Linked DNA regions of Mus musculus: all the other regions are reported to be linked to region 3. The links are microRNA targets in miRTarBase. Many come from high-throughput screens and were not tested one by one. Region 3 holds a microRNA gene; each other region holds the end of a gene's coding sequence.

Region 1 (3,000 bases), not on the chromosome of region 3:
GGTGCAGATAAGAGCTGCCCTCTGGTTCTAGGCACTGAGAGCAACAGGTCTCCACCCCACAGGCCCTGATGTCACAGGCAGCAATTGCGGGGCTGCACCTCAAAGGTAAAACTATTATCACCTACTGGGTGCCAATCACCAGCCAGCTCACACACACTCTGACAGAGGGTGTCCGTAGAAAGTAACAAGCAAAGGACTGTTCCTAAAAATACCAGTGGGAATTCGTGGGAATCTCCCCCTCCCCCGCCAGCCAGACTCGACTCGGCCGGTTAGGACTCAGTGTTTAGACGTTAGGACACCTTACACCAAAGTCAATGTTTAGTGTACAAACGCTGCCTCCTCCAGCAAACCTAACTGGGTTGGAGGGGTTGATGAATCCCCTGGGCTTCTCTGGCAAAGCCAGCATCGCGCCAGACATGTTATGTGAGGACTCTTCAGGGAGTCCCCAGCCCTACAGAGCCCAGGAGTCTAGGCGAGGGTTTCAAGGCGCAGAGACGAAAGGGCGCATCTGCCTTACCTTCCTCCAAGCTCAGAGGTAAACAGATTATCATTCTAATATGTAGCCAGGTAAGGGGAAAAACAAAGCCAGAATACAATAGAGAAAGCAGAGCAGGGGATGCAGTTGGAGACTGCTTGCCTACAATGTACAGAGTCCAGGGCTTGATCTCAGCACAGTATACACTTTAAAAAAAGCTCAAGGTCCTAGTTGGCTACAGGGAGAGTCCCAGGCTAGCCCGGGATACAAGAGACCCTGTCACATACATATACATACCATCACTAAAAATGATGCAGGTTCCCTGCCTGAACCTCTGATCCCCACACTCCTCCCGGCCTGGAGGCCTTTCCGCCTCCATGGGTACTGCCAGCTTTTCTAGGACTCTGGTAACCCTTCTCCTCCGAGCTGCTTGCCTGTAGTGTGATGTGTAAGAACACTCATTCTTAGTCAGAAGGTATATGCCCAACTCTATCCCCATATGAGGTCTGGGCTGTATGCCTGGTGGAAACTGTACCCATGTTTGTTCTGTCATATGTAAACCGTCACCCGACCACTATAAGGATTCATAGCTGGAGGGTTAACATCAGCAATCGTTTCTCCTCGGGAGGGCAGGTGGAGGCACTCAGTACTGGGTCGAAGGGTGCAGGGGCATGTGAGAGATCCTATCTGAGAACATTTCCCAGAACACAGATTCCTGATGGTATCAGGCAAGAGGCCTGCTTAATTAAAAGCCATTGCCTCTACCTGGGCTCCATATCTAGGGTTCCTAAGAAGTCACGATGGTATCATGGCCCGCATGTTCTCTTGAGTCCCTTGCCTGAGGTTGGCCCTGGCTTCTCAGAAAAGGACCACCCTTTGCAAGAAAAGGACTGGCCCATTGTTAAATAACATCTGCACTCAAAGAGATGGTGGGTGGGGAGTGATCAGAGGCCCACACCACTGATTCCACTCCAAGAATGACAGGGAGCGTTTATGGAGCAAACATTTTATTTAATAAGTTATAAGATACACTTTATAGTCGGCATTTGATTCCAGTTCGGTCTCCGTGTCTATTCCGCCTTTCACATCCGGCTTCAGCTGCTCCAGGTCCTAACAGGTGGCTTTTAGCACCCACACCTCTCCAGCTGCTGTGCCTTGGTGCGGGACACCTACTCCACCCCTGCCACATTCATGAGAACCACCACACCCCATTGTGTGTGTGTGTGTGTGTGTGTGTGTGTGTGTGTGTGTGTGTGTGTGTAACACTCGCTCCAGCCATTTGACAGCCTGACAATGCTTACACCAAAACCTTTAGAGACCTCAGGTGGGTGCACGTGCTAGTGTCTTGGTCATTAAGGCCTCTCATGGGTCATAAGAGGGGTACCCATCCCTTCCAGCTTTTGCAAGGAGGAGGTCCTGAAATAATTTATCAGTGGTCTCTGCCATTTAGCAGCCGCAATGAACTCTGGGGGCAGCTGGCAGAGGCCCTGCATTTGGCCATGAGCACATGCCTTCAAGGCTGTTAATAAAGAAGTAGGCAGGTACAGAATTCCAAAAATGGGGTATGGAGTGTTCTGCATGCCTTCTGCTCCAGAGCTGGCTTTAGGATGAAGTCAAAGTGATCAGGGCCCCAAGACGAAGCCCAGGCATGGAGTATAATCTGGGTCAGACTTTCTTATTTGTTGTCTAGTCTTGAGGAAAGTGGGTTGCACTGTTCTTTGGCAAGTGGGGTGCAGGACCCCCTTCTGCAATGACATTCTTGTTTGGTTATCGCTTGAGTAGACCAGAAGCTTAGGAGAGCCAGTCAGTCCTGTCCATGTTCTTGTTCCGTCTGCAATGACCTTTGAAATTAAGAGTCTTGATTTGGGCAGAGGGCTCTGCACTTTTTTGGCCCCAGCTTGCTTTCTGAAGATGTCCCACATGACCTCGAGTCAAGTCTAGGGCACCAAGGCACTTGGAGTGAGCGGCAAGGTTTGGGATGGGGACGCTGGCCCACCAGCAGGCTGTGGACATTGTAAAAAATGAATTACAAACTAGCAACAAAAGCAACCGGAAGGGACACGTCCAGCATTGGCTATCAGATGCTTTAAGGCACGGTGACATGAAAGGGGCTACCGGGGATGTGCTCTTCCCCCCACTTCACAGCCAGAACGTAATCGCCCCTCTCCTTGACGACGTAGGTGACGTTGTACTGTTGCTTGCCCACATGCTTCATGGAGACCTCTTCACAGGGGGTGGTGGGCCCATGGACCCCAATCAACAGCATGTTGGACCCTGCGGGAAGAGGAGGTTGTTACTGACCTGACCAATCAGGACAAGCAGAGATGTGACAAAGGTAGAGAGATGAGGGATAACTGGCCGAGCTGGGATGATGGCACCAGAGTCCTTTCACTGGTGGCAAATCGTGGCCATGATCAGTAGAGACAACCTGATTTGGGCTCACATGCCAGCCCTCACACCCTTTGCTTTGGTGACCTCAGACAGGAAAAGCTCTCTACCTAAACTGCAAACCAGGAAGGCCACAA
Region 2 (3,000 bases), not on the chromosome of region 3:
ACATAGACAGCACCAGCAAAGCCATGGTGACTGAGACCAGCATTGGGGATGAGGACTTCCAGCAGCTGCATGCCCCAGAAGGGATAGCTGTCACCTTCTGCCTCAAGGAATTTCGGGTGAGTTTACTATGGCTAGCACCTGGTCTTTGAACCAAACACAGGCTCTCACTACCTGCTTCTTCCATCCCAGGGGCTCCTGAGCTTTGCAGAGTCAGCGAATTTGCCTCTTACTATCCACTTCGATGTTCCAGGCAGGTAATTCCAGGCTTTTAGACTGGGGAGAGGCAGGGCTCTGGGATGCCCAGAGCAGGATAACCTAGCTTAACCCCTTTCTGTCACCCAGGCCAGTCATCTTTACTATTGAGGATTCCTTGCTGGATGCCCACTTTGTCTTGGCCACACTCTTAGAGCAAGACTCATGTTCCCAGGGCCCGTGTTCCCCAAAACCCCACCAGCCAGTGCCTCAGAAGCAGGCACACAGGTAAGTGTCTCACTTCCTCGCATTCCCTCTATTTCTACACACTCAGGTTGAGCTTGCTACTTGTAGCTTCTGCACCTCCCCCATACATGCTTCCTGTCAGGCCCAGCCTCAACAGGGCTTCCAGCCTTAATGGTCAGCTGTACTGAGACCCCTCCCATCCATAGAGGCATCCCCTAGGTCCTGCTGGCTTCCTTCTCTGGCTGAGGCCTCCCCTCTGAGCCTCTTTCCAGACTCGGAGAGAAAGGGCTGCTGGGAGGCAGGGAGCTGCCTGGTGCAGGAGAAGCAGGTGGCTGCGAGGGCAGGTGGGTTGGGAGGCTGGGCTCGTGTAGTAGAAACAGAGGAAGTTTGGTCTGGCTCTCGGCCCAGCACATCCCTGGGCTCTTGTGCTCTCCAGCTCCTGTCCCTTGGGAAGGTGAGGGGTTGGGCCCCACGTGGCCCTGTTCACAGGACTTGTTGCTTTCCTCCCCCAGCTGAGCTAAATTGGCCCCAGGATCCTCCCTCAGGCCCCTACCTGAACTCTGATCAAAAGGGTTCCAGTTCCACCCCCTCCAGGAAGCTCCCACTTAACCCCTGCATCCTATCCTCCCAGCCAAATCAGGAAGTAATAAAATCAAAAGCTAGCTCACCAGCAGTCTGGAGACCTCAAGCCCTCCTCAGAGCCCTCCAAAGTGGGGTTTGCCTCTGTATCCCTTTTTTCTCTGTACCATGTTGATATTATCTCTGCCTACAGCACACCCCACTTAGATGACTTTACCAGTGATGACATTGACTGTTACATGATTGCCATGGAAACCACTGGAGGCAATGAGGGCTCCGGGGCACAGCCTTCCACATCCCTCCCACCTGTCTCCCTGGCCTCCCATGACCTTGCCCCCACCTCAGAGGAGGAAGCTGAGCCCAGTACAGTGCCTGGGACTCCCCCACCCAAGAAGGTAAAAGCTGGATGTTGGGATAGGAACTGAGGGAGGGAGGGAAGGAAGGAAGGAAGCAGCTTCCAAGACTAACTGGGCTCTCTCTATTCTCTTTCCAGTTTCGTTCACTGTTCTTTGGCTCCATCCTGGCCCCTGTACACTCCCCGCAGGGTCCCAACCCTGTGCTGGCTGAAGACAGTGATGGTGAAGGGTGAATTTGAGAAATTAAAGTCTGTGTTCAAAGGCTCACGGACCAGAAGCAGGCCCGCCCACTGAGTTGGGCGTCAGTCCTTAGACATGGACATGGAAATGGAAAAAGGCATACCCCACTTGGCTGTCTGCTGCAGAGCTGCCTAGGAACCATGTTTGGTCTGTGTTCTGTATTTATTCAGCCTATACCAATCATGTCTCTGGTGCCCACCTGTCACCTGACAGATCCCTCATCCTTTACTTTGAGGCTCTAGAATACAAATTCTGGCCAAAGCCAGAAACTTAGCTTCCTCAGTCTCCTGCCTCTAAAACAGGAAGATCAGTATTGAACACCCTCTGCCAATCATGAACTCCCCGCCAGACCCTCCTGTGGGCCAAAGGAACTGTTTCTCTTTCCTAACACTTGGGCCTTGGCCTAGAATCCTAATAGCCTCTGGACCTGATTGTGTGTCACTGGTGTTGCCCTGGCTGGGCCCATGTTCAGCCACTCAGTCTGCCCTCCCAGGTGGCTTTGTACCAAAGAACTGCTGGCCCACTGTCTGGGACGGGACAAGAGAGACAGAGGCTATGGTGAGAATCCAGCTTTGACCTTTATTCAAGAGACCAGATGGGTTGCCCCAGGATCTGGCTGCCAGCCATGCAAGGCTGGAGACCCACAATCTGGTCTGCCATTGCCCTGAGCTGCAGCCTTGGCCCCAGGATTCCACTTGCAGCCACCACAGGTGCTGGTGGGAGGGAGCCCTGGGAGATTAGATGCTGCTATTGATTCTTTAAAAAATAAAGGAAAGACACTTAACGCTGTGTGTTCCCCGTGACGGGTGGGCCTGAGAGGCCAGTGTGACCCATGGCAGCATGATTTCTGTACAAACGATCTGGGGCAGAAGGGCAGCACATGGAGGCTATTTCTTGGCTTTGGCAGAATTGCGGGGTGGAGTGATGGGCCGGCCTCCGGGGTTCAGGCCGCTGAACTGCCCATACTTGCCCTTATTCTTATCAGCGGGCTTGAGGATCTGGAAGAGAAAACACTCATCAGGGTCCTGGGGTTGAGCCAGGCGTCTATTGGGCAGCCTCTTCCCCACACCCACCTGGAAGGAACACATGAGGGTCTCATCCACACTCATCATGGCACCAGCATTGTCAAACTCTCCACAGTAGTTGGGAGCTGAGAAGAGTGTCACCAACTGTCTCTTGGCAAAGAACTCATAGCCATCTTCTACAACCTGGGCCAGGGCAGGAACGGTTTAGTCTGTAAGTTAGGCACCCCACCCCCACCCCCAGCCCGCCCCAGGCCACCAGCCCACCTGATGTGCTCTGCAGATGAGGTCCAAATCATGCTTGTGCAGGAACTTGGCTACCACCTCAGCCCCAAAGGTAAAGGAGACACCACGGTCATTCTCGC
Region 3 (6,198 bases):
GAAATGTAGCCCTCTCCCCATTTGATTCTGGTACTTCATTTGGTGAGAAATACAGAAAAAAAATGAAAACAGCTGAATGAAGAAGAAATGGGGCTCACATACTATTCTCCTCCTTTTATATAATCTTAAAAAGTTAAGAAGTCAAATTAATGAAGAAACACATTGACTTAAAATTTTCCAAAGCACTGGAGCTTGTTCCTTCATATGGATCAAAACCATGGACAGCGAACTAGTTATTAAGCAAACCGACTCCAGCAAAATTGTGTGTGAAATTTTACCTTCATAGCATCTGTTGGAGGCAACGAAAATTTTATTTTATAACAATTTGGAATAAATCTTGAATTTAAAACTAAAATTTGAATTTAAGGGATACTGTATGCATTCTACCACGTTTTAAGGAAATGATAATTCATATCTTCAACATCTGTCCTTTCTCATGGATGTGACTTTTTAAAAATCAAACTAAAGGTCATTTCTACCTTATGTCACTAGTAAATTACAGTTTTAAATACATTCATTTTGGTATGGGATGTTTGTTATAGGACATACAGCTGAATAAAGAAAGAGAAATTTTATATTTTGTCTGGGATTAGCTGAATGACACTAGAGCAAATTAAATAGATTTTTATCAGTGACTAGGTTTCTAAATGCATAGAATTGGAAAAATTAAATGCCACTTTGATAGACAGGGATAATATGAATAGAGATATGACTCCCATACCCCCATTTATTTCTGGACAGACACTATAGTGCATAACTAACTGTGCAGTGACTGGTTAGACGGACACTCACCCTAACCCCCAGGAAAACAACAGACTTTCACATACATATTGATCCAGGTTAGGGCACAGGTTTGGTTCACTGTGGCTCTGTGTCAAATAACTATATTGCTTTTTGCATGAGTTTCATTACCTTAACCTTTTCAGAAGTGAAATTCATCACAATTATTTCTCTTGTGGATTATATAACTGCTCCCTTAAATTTTCACTTTCAACCCTGTGACTTCTGACTTATTTTGTAACCAGTCTTCTTTGTGACCTGTAAAGGCCTGGAAGATCGTATAAATCATTAACAACACACAGGTTAGAAAAATTAAAAAAAAACAATTTACATTTAAATTTGAAATAAAATTCAAGTGACGTTGAGATTTGTAAGGCAATGAATTCCGGATCTTTAGCCATCGTGCTTGTCCAGAGAATGAAACTGCAATTCTTTGAATGTCCTTGTTTCTTAGCATAGATGATAGATATGTTTTTGACACCCGCATTTTAAAAATTTAAATATTTAAAAAGCATTTGAGAAGGATATTAAATGGAATTTGGTGGTATTCTGATCATTTCATAATGGGCTCTTGTGGTTCTTGTAATGGTGGCCCAGGGCTCTGGTAGAAAGCAGAGACAGTTTGGGAGTCATTGTTTAGGAAGGTGCTCCAGCCTGTCTTCATTCATAAGAATAAGCATAAAAAATTTAGACCTTGGCCTGGGGAAAGGACAATGGTGGGGACGAAAGATGCAGATATGCCTTAACCATAAAATGAAGAGGTGGTCGCTCATCTGGAGCTTAGCTCTGTCCATGGTGAGGTGTTGGCTGTGCGTGCCAGATTTTAGATGAGGATTGAGAAAGTAGTACTGTCTCTATTTTAGGAGACAGAAGCCAAGTGTGGTGACTTTGACTTGTGTTGAGCCAGCCTGGACCTTGACTGGGGGCTGTGCAGAAGGCAAGAGAGACTGAGGAGCTCTGTCTTAGGTAGTTGTATTGGGGCCAGTGTGGTGCGTGCAGGAGAGTGTAAGCAAGGGCAAGGAGGGTGCCCTTTGCTTTGCCCAGGCGCAGCTCTTGGGGGCTGCGCGCCTTCTGCAGCTCTTTGGTTTCAAGGACACAGCGAGCTGTTCAGGACTTTGGGAGCCAACATCTGTCTGACTGGTGACGTCAGCAGCCCGTGTAATCCTCTTGTGCTGAAGGCAGATGCCTTATTTGTTTGGCTGGAGCGAGCCATTAATCCCTAATTCTGGATCAGCAAGCGAGGGGGAAAGACCGGACCGCTACGATCCACCCCCTCCCTGCCCCCACCGCCCATCCTAAAGCACCTTATATCGCGGAAACCACTCAGCCTCCTCTTTCCTCCGAGAACACGCGGAGCAGCCCCTGAAAACGCTTTGGTCCTCTGCAGGTTTGAGCAGAGCTAGCAGCTCTTTCGCCTTTGGATTTCTAGGGCTATGCCTATATGAAATTCTTTATTTCATCGATCATTTCGATTTTCATGCGAGAACTCTTCAGTCTTGCAGTTTGCAGGATTCTAAACCAAGAAGGGGTGGAGATTGGAGAATGCGGTTCTGGCGTGTGGTCTGAGGGAGGGGTTAGATGGGTAAGGGCGCGCGGGATGCGCAAATCGCTGAGACTGCACAGAGGACAATCTGAGGACTCGCTTTCAAGACTCCATCTCAGGAAAACATTTCTCTCGTCCTGACTGCATCTTCTCACCTTCCGAAGCCGGGATTGAGTTGGGAACTCCCCTGTCGCCCCGCACATTGCAGGGGCTCCCCGAGCTCGATTCTATAGGTCCGGACGGCCGGTCACCTTGGCTCCCTAGAGTGATTCCTCCCTCCTCCTGTCCCTCCTCTCCAGTCTCCCCCTCCTCCCTCCTGCTCTAATTCTGCGCTTTGATTCTGTTTTTCAGGGGGAGCGCTCTGGGGTCTCCGCACAAAACCTGCTTTTGAGCCCTTTGGCTTTCTTCAGGCGAGCGCAGTCCGTCCATCCCCCTGGCCCACCCAGCCGCAAGGGATGCTGTGAAAAGAGCCGCTGCTTGCCGCCTCCGGCCTGCCGTCCAGAGGGCTCCGCCCGTAGAGGTCAACTCCCCTCATTCTTCTTCTTTCCATCTTGCCCTCCCTCCGCCGAGCCCAGACTCGGATCTCCTCCTGACTCCCGCCGCAGTCAGAGAGAGCGCATCTGCTGCGCTGCCCTTAAATCTACGCCCAGAGCGGGCTCAGACCCGATCTCTGCTCTCCAGAGCCGGAGGAAGCCCGAGCAAGCAGCCTTTTCTCTTCGCAGTAAAATCATAGCCAGACCAGATGGGCCCCAGCTCTCCCGGGACTCGGCAGGTGCTGTTGAGTTAATTTTTCCGCAATACAAAGAAGGAGGACCCAGCCGGCCTGGGATTCTGATCTTTTCCCAAAATTTCCCAACCAAAATCGGGCTATCAAAGGCGTATACGTGTGTTTGTCGGACATACAAACATGCATGATTATATTCGCTTTTTCTGCTAGATCTCTGGCAACAGGGGATGAGTGACAAAGGTTTCTGCAGCAGAACACTCATGGTGTGGTCCTTAAAGACTTGCCTTTCCTTACAAATGTCTTAGGACGGCATTCAGGGCGAACCAACTCAGTTAATTGCCTTCAGTAAAATAACACGATTACGAAATTAGATCTGTACCAGAGGGGTAATTAACTTCGATCCATGTCATCATTTGAAAACTAGATTTATAGACATATGTATGGGTTTTAGGTGCGCTGTAAATGGCATGCAGATGTATGCATAAGAATCGCAGACTCATGCACCCGCTACTCTTCAACCTTGCAGACTAATTAATGGCAACTCTGACAGATGTGGCGGGAGGAAAGCTGAGGTGGGAGTACTGCTCAGAGCTACAACTCTAGGAGTAGGGACTCCAAGCCTAGAGCTCCAAGAGAGGGTGAAGGGCAGGGAGAAAATTATAGTAATAGTTGCAATGAGTCACTTGCTTCTAGATCAAGATCAGAGACTCTGCTCTCCGTGTTCACAGCGGACCTTGATTTAATGTCATACAATTAAGGCACGCGGTGAATGCCAAGAGCGGAGCCTACGGCTGCACTTGAAGGACATCCGAGAGAAGTTAGGAAGGGTGGGGAGAAACAATTCTAGAATGAACCCATCCTGTGCGACACAAGGACCCCTCGCATTGATTCAAAATCTTTAGAATACAAGACAGTCAAATGTTTTTCAGCGAGAATCTGGGAAATCCGCATGCATACTCCCAAGGGGAATATTAGAGGTTTCATTGACAGCTGTCAGGAGAGCTGTAGTTCCCATTGGTGCAAACGGTCTAAGAGATGGCACTCAGAGAGTGCTGGCCTTTTCCAAATAAAATTCTGGGTCGAACTGGGAAAACAAAACGGATGAGAAACCCCAGACCACACTGCATAAGAAACCTCAAATGACTCAATTATCAGTGAAAATAGGACCCCCGCCCCAAGCTTTTCACTATTCTCCCATTCTTTACCCAGTCTCATGGTAGCCTTGACTGGATTTAAAAGGCCAAGGCAAAGTGACAATACCCAAATCAGTCAATATTGTCCAATAAGAGGGAAAGGCCAAGCCAGGAACTCTAAGACTTGGTAAATTAATGTATTTGGAAGACCATGAGGTACTTAGTTAAGGTAGGTTCCATAACCCGAAAGCCTAAGAAAACCACCGCTGAGAAAGAGCCTTGGTGGAAGTCTTTGTTCTGTGGTGGCCTATCTGGCCTGGGAACAAAGGAGAGGCTGGAGAAGGATAACCCAAAGTGGCCGCACCCTCGCCTTGCTGACAGGATCATCTTCCTCTTCCTCTTTCTTTTCCTCCTCCATTACCTCCTCCCCCTCCTCTTGTGGTAATTCTGCAAACAAGGCAATAGAATTATAGAATCGCTTCTTCTCTAACCCAGCCCCATACCCCAGGATATTAGTTAACTTACAAATAAAAACCTTGAAATACGGAAAGACAGGCTAAACAGTATTTTGCTGAAACCATCCACTCTGACAATCAGCTGATTTGGCCAGAAACCCGAGTAGTTAACAAAATGTGCTAGAGAGAGATTAAATAGATTTTTTTTCCTCTTAAATCACAATCTTGAAAAGAGAAACACACGGTTTTCAGTTGAGGATCTTATCTCAGATATGGTCACCAAAGATACCTCTCAAAGGACCCTAGAGTGTGCCTCAAAATATATTTAAAAGGTTCTGACTGAGGTTGATTTAGTGACCAGAGCAGGCAGGAGTAGAGAAGCCTGCAACCACTCTCGTGGCTCTCAGCAAGGCTTTCTGTGGGACAGCTTTCCTTACTGAGTTCTGAGGCCAAGGCCCACAGAGTGGCAGGGTGATGGTGCCCAGGAGCTGGCAGTGAGCCTCGCTCCTCACAGGAGGTACTGCAGTCCTAGGAGGCCTGAATCCCACAGTGCAGAGAAAACCATACTGCAGAGCACAGCTCACTAGGGAGGCAGAGTAGCTTACCAAATCCCATATAATGAAGATTTGTCTTAGGAGTCCTGGGTCAAATGTGTCTGAATTAATGCATTCAACATATATTTAAAATTATCAGCATTCTAATTTAAATATTGAGAGTATTGTATATAAATAGTAAAATATTAATTTCTATATTGAGTCATATGTGCAATGGAAAAAGTAATAGACAATAGATTGGTTTGTATTCAGCCGTGGGTCCAGGAAAGAAAATGTTCCATGCTTGAATTTCTTTGTAGATTCACATCATAAATACTGTCAAACATCAGTCATAGATAAACTAAACAAAGCTGTAAAGAGACACAGTGACAGTGATTTTTACCTGGGCATAGAAATGGTCCATAAATGAACAATGGCCTAAAAAATATGTTTTTATACTATTTCTTCTCTTCCACCTGAATGGTTGAAATGTAGCCAATGATTCAGGAAAAAATGAGCTCAGAAATGATATTCTTGGGGGTCTAGTTCCTATTCACTCCATCCTAAAAAGGTGGCTTTTAGTTTTGTTTTCTGATTTTAAAACTCTGTAAATTAGGATCTTTATATCCACAAATTTTAGGTTTGCATTTGATTTTACACAATCTGGGGGGGGGGGTGAGATGGCGATATCACACTTTGTTGGGACAAGAGCTACCTCAAACACAAAGAAACCCCCTCTTGTGTCGCTGAAAAAAAAAAAAAAAAAAAAAAAAAAAAAAACTCACCAGAAATGGGAATGGGTTTGAAGTGCTGAAGGTTGTCATGGATGCTCCTCCTTCCAGCAACGACCTAGTTATTCTGGTGGTCTCTCCTCACAATCCCCTGAGCTCCTCACAAAGCAAAAAGGGTCTAACAGTCCTGCTACATCAGTGTAATTCATATTACATAATAAAAACACAATAATACTCCCCGACCTAATCCTACTTGTTTACAGCAGTCCTATACTCTCGCTTCAGAAATCTTAATC

Evidence for each region. The annotated mature microRNA mmu-miR-124-3p reads UAAGGCACGCGGUGAAUGCC and lies in region 3 at 3,805-3,824, shown strand. An mRNA with a match to its seed (bases 2 to 7 or 8) in the 3' UTR can be bound and repressed. Matches are read on the target gene's strand: a 7mer-m8 pairs with bases 2 to 8, a 7mer-A1 pairs with bases 2 to 7 and ends in A, and an 8mer does both.
Region 1: the mRNA of Flnb is a reported target of mmu-miR-124-3p. Seed matches in the 3' UTR shown: 7mer-m8 at 2,423-2,429.
Region 2: the mRNA of Ppp1ca is a reported target of mmu-miR-124-3p. The part of its 3' UTR that is shown has no 7-base or 8-base seed match.

Annotation. Positions count from the first base shown.
Region 1 is chr14:7,950,054-7,953,053 of GRCm38, reverse strand. It overlaps Flnb (filamin, beta), which reads right to left. Exons shown (of 46, transcript NM_134080.1): 46 at 1,466-2,749. The coding sequence ends at 2,562. Among named protein-coding and RNA genes, the nearest start is that of Gm45521, 5.7 kb to the left of the region's middle.
Region 2 is chr19:4,194,593-4,197,592 of GRCm38, reverse strand. It overlaps Ppp1ca (protein phosphatase 1 catalytic subunit alpha), which reads right to left. Exons shown (of 7, transcript NM_031868.2): 5 at 2,903-3,000; 6 at 2,687-2,821; 7 at 2,174-2,611. The coding sequence ends at 2,501. It overlaps Rad9a (RAD9 checkpoint clamp component A), which reads left to right. Exons shown (of 11, transcript NM_011237.2): 7 at 7-116; 8 at 190-254; 9 at 343-480; 10 at 1,211-1,412; 11 at 1,511-2,395. The coding sequence ends at 1,606. Among named protein-coding and RNA genes, the nearest start is that of Ppp1ca, 3.9 kb to the right of the region's middle.
Region 3 is chr3:17,791,919-17,798,116 of GRCm38, forward strand. It overlaps Mir124a-2 (microRNA 124a-2), which reads left to right and starts at 3,744; the gene lies at 3,744-3,852. Mir124-2hg (Mir124-2 host gene (non-protein coding)) reads left to right here. Exons shown (of 3, transcript NR_033490.1): 2 at 2,675-3,095. Gm51272 (predicted gene, 51272) reads right to left here and starts at 3,823; the gene lies at 3,767-3,823.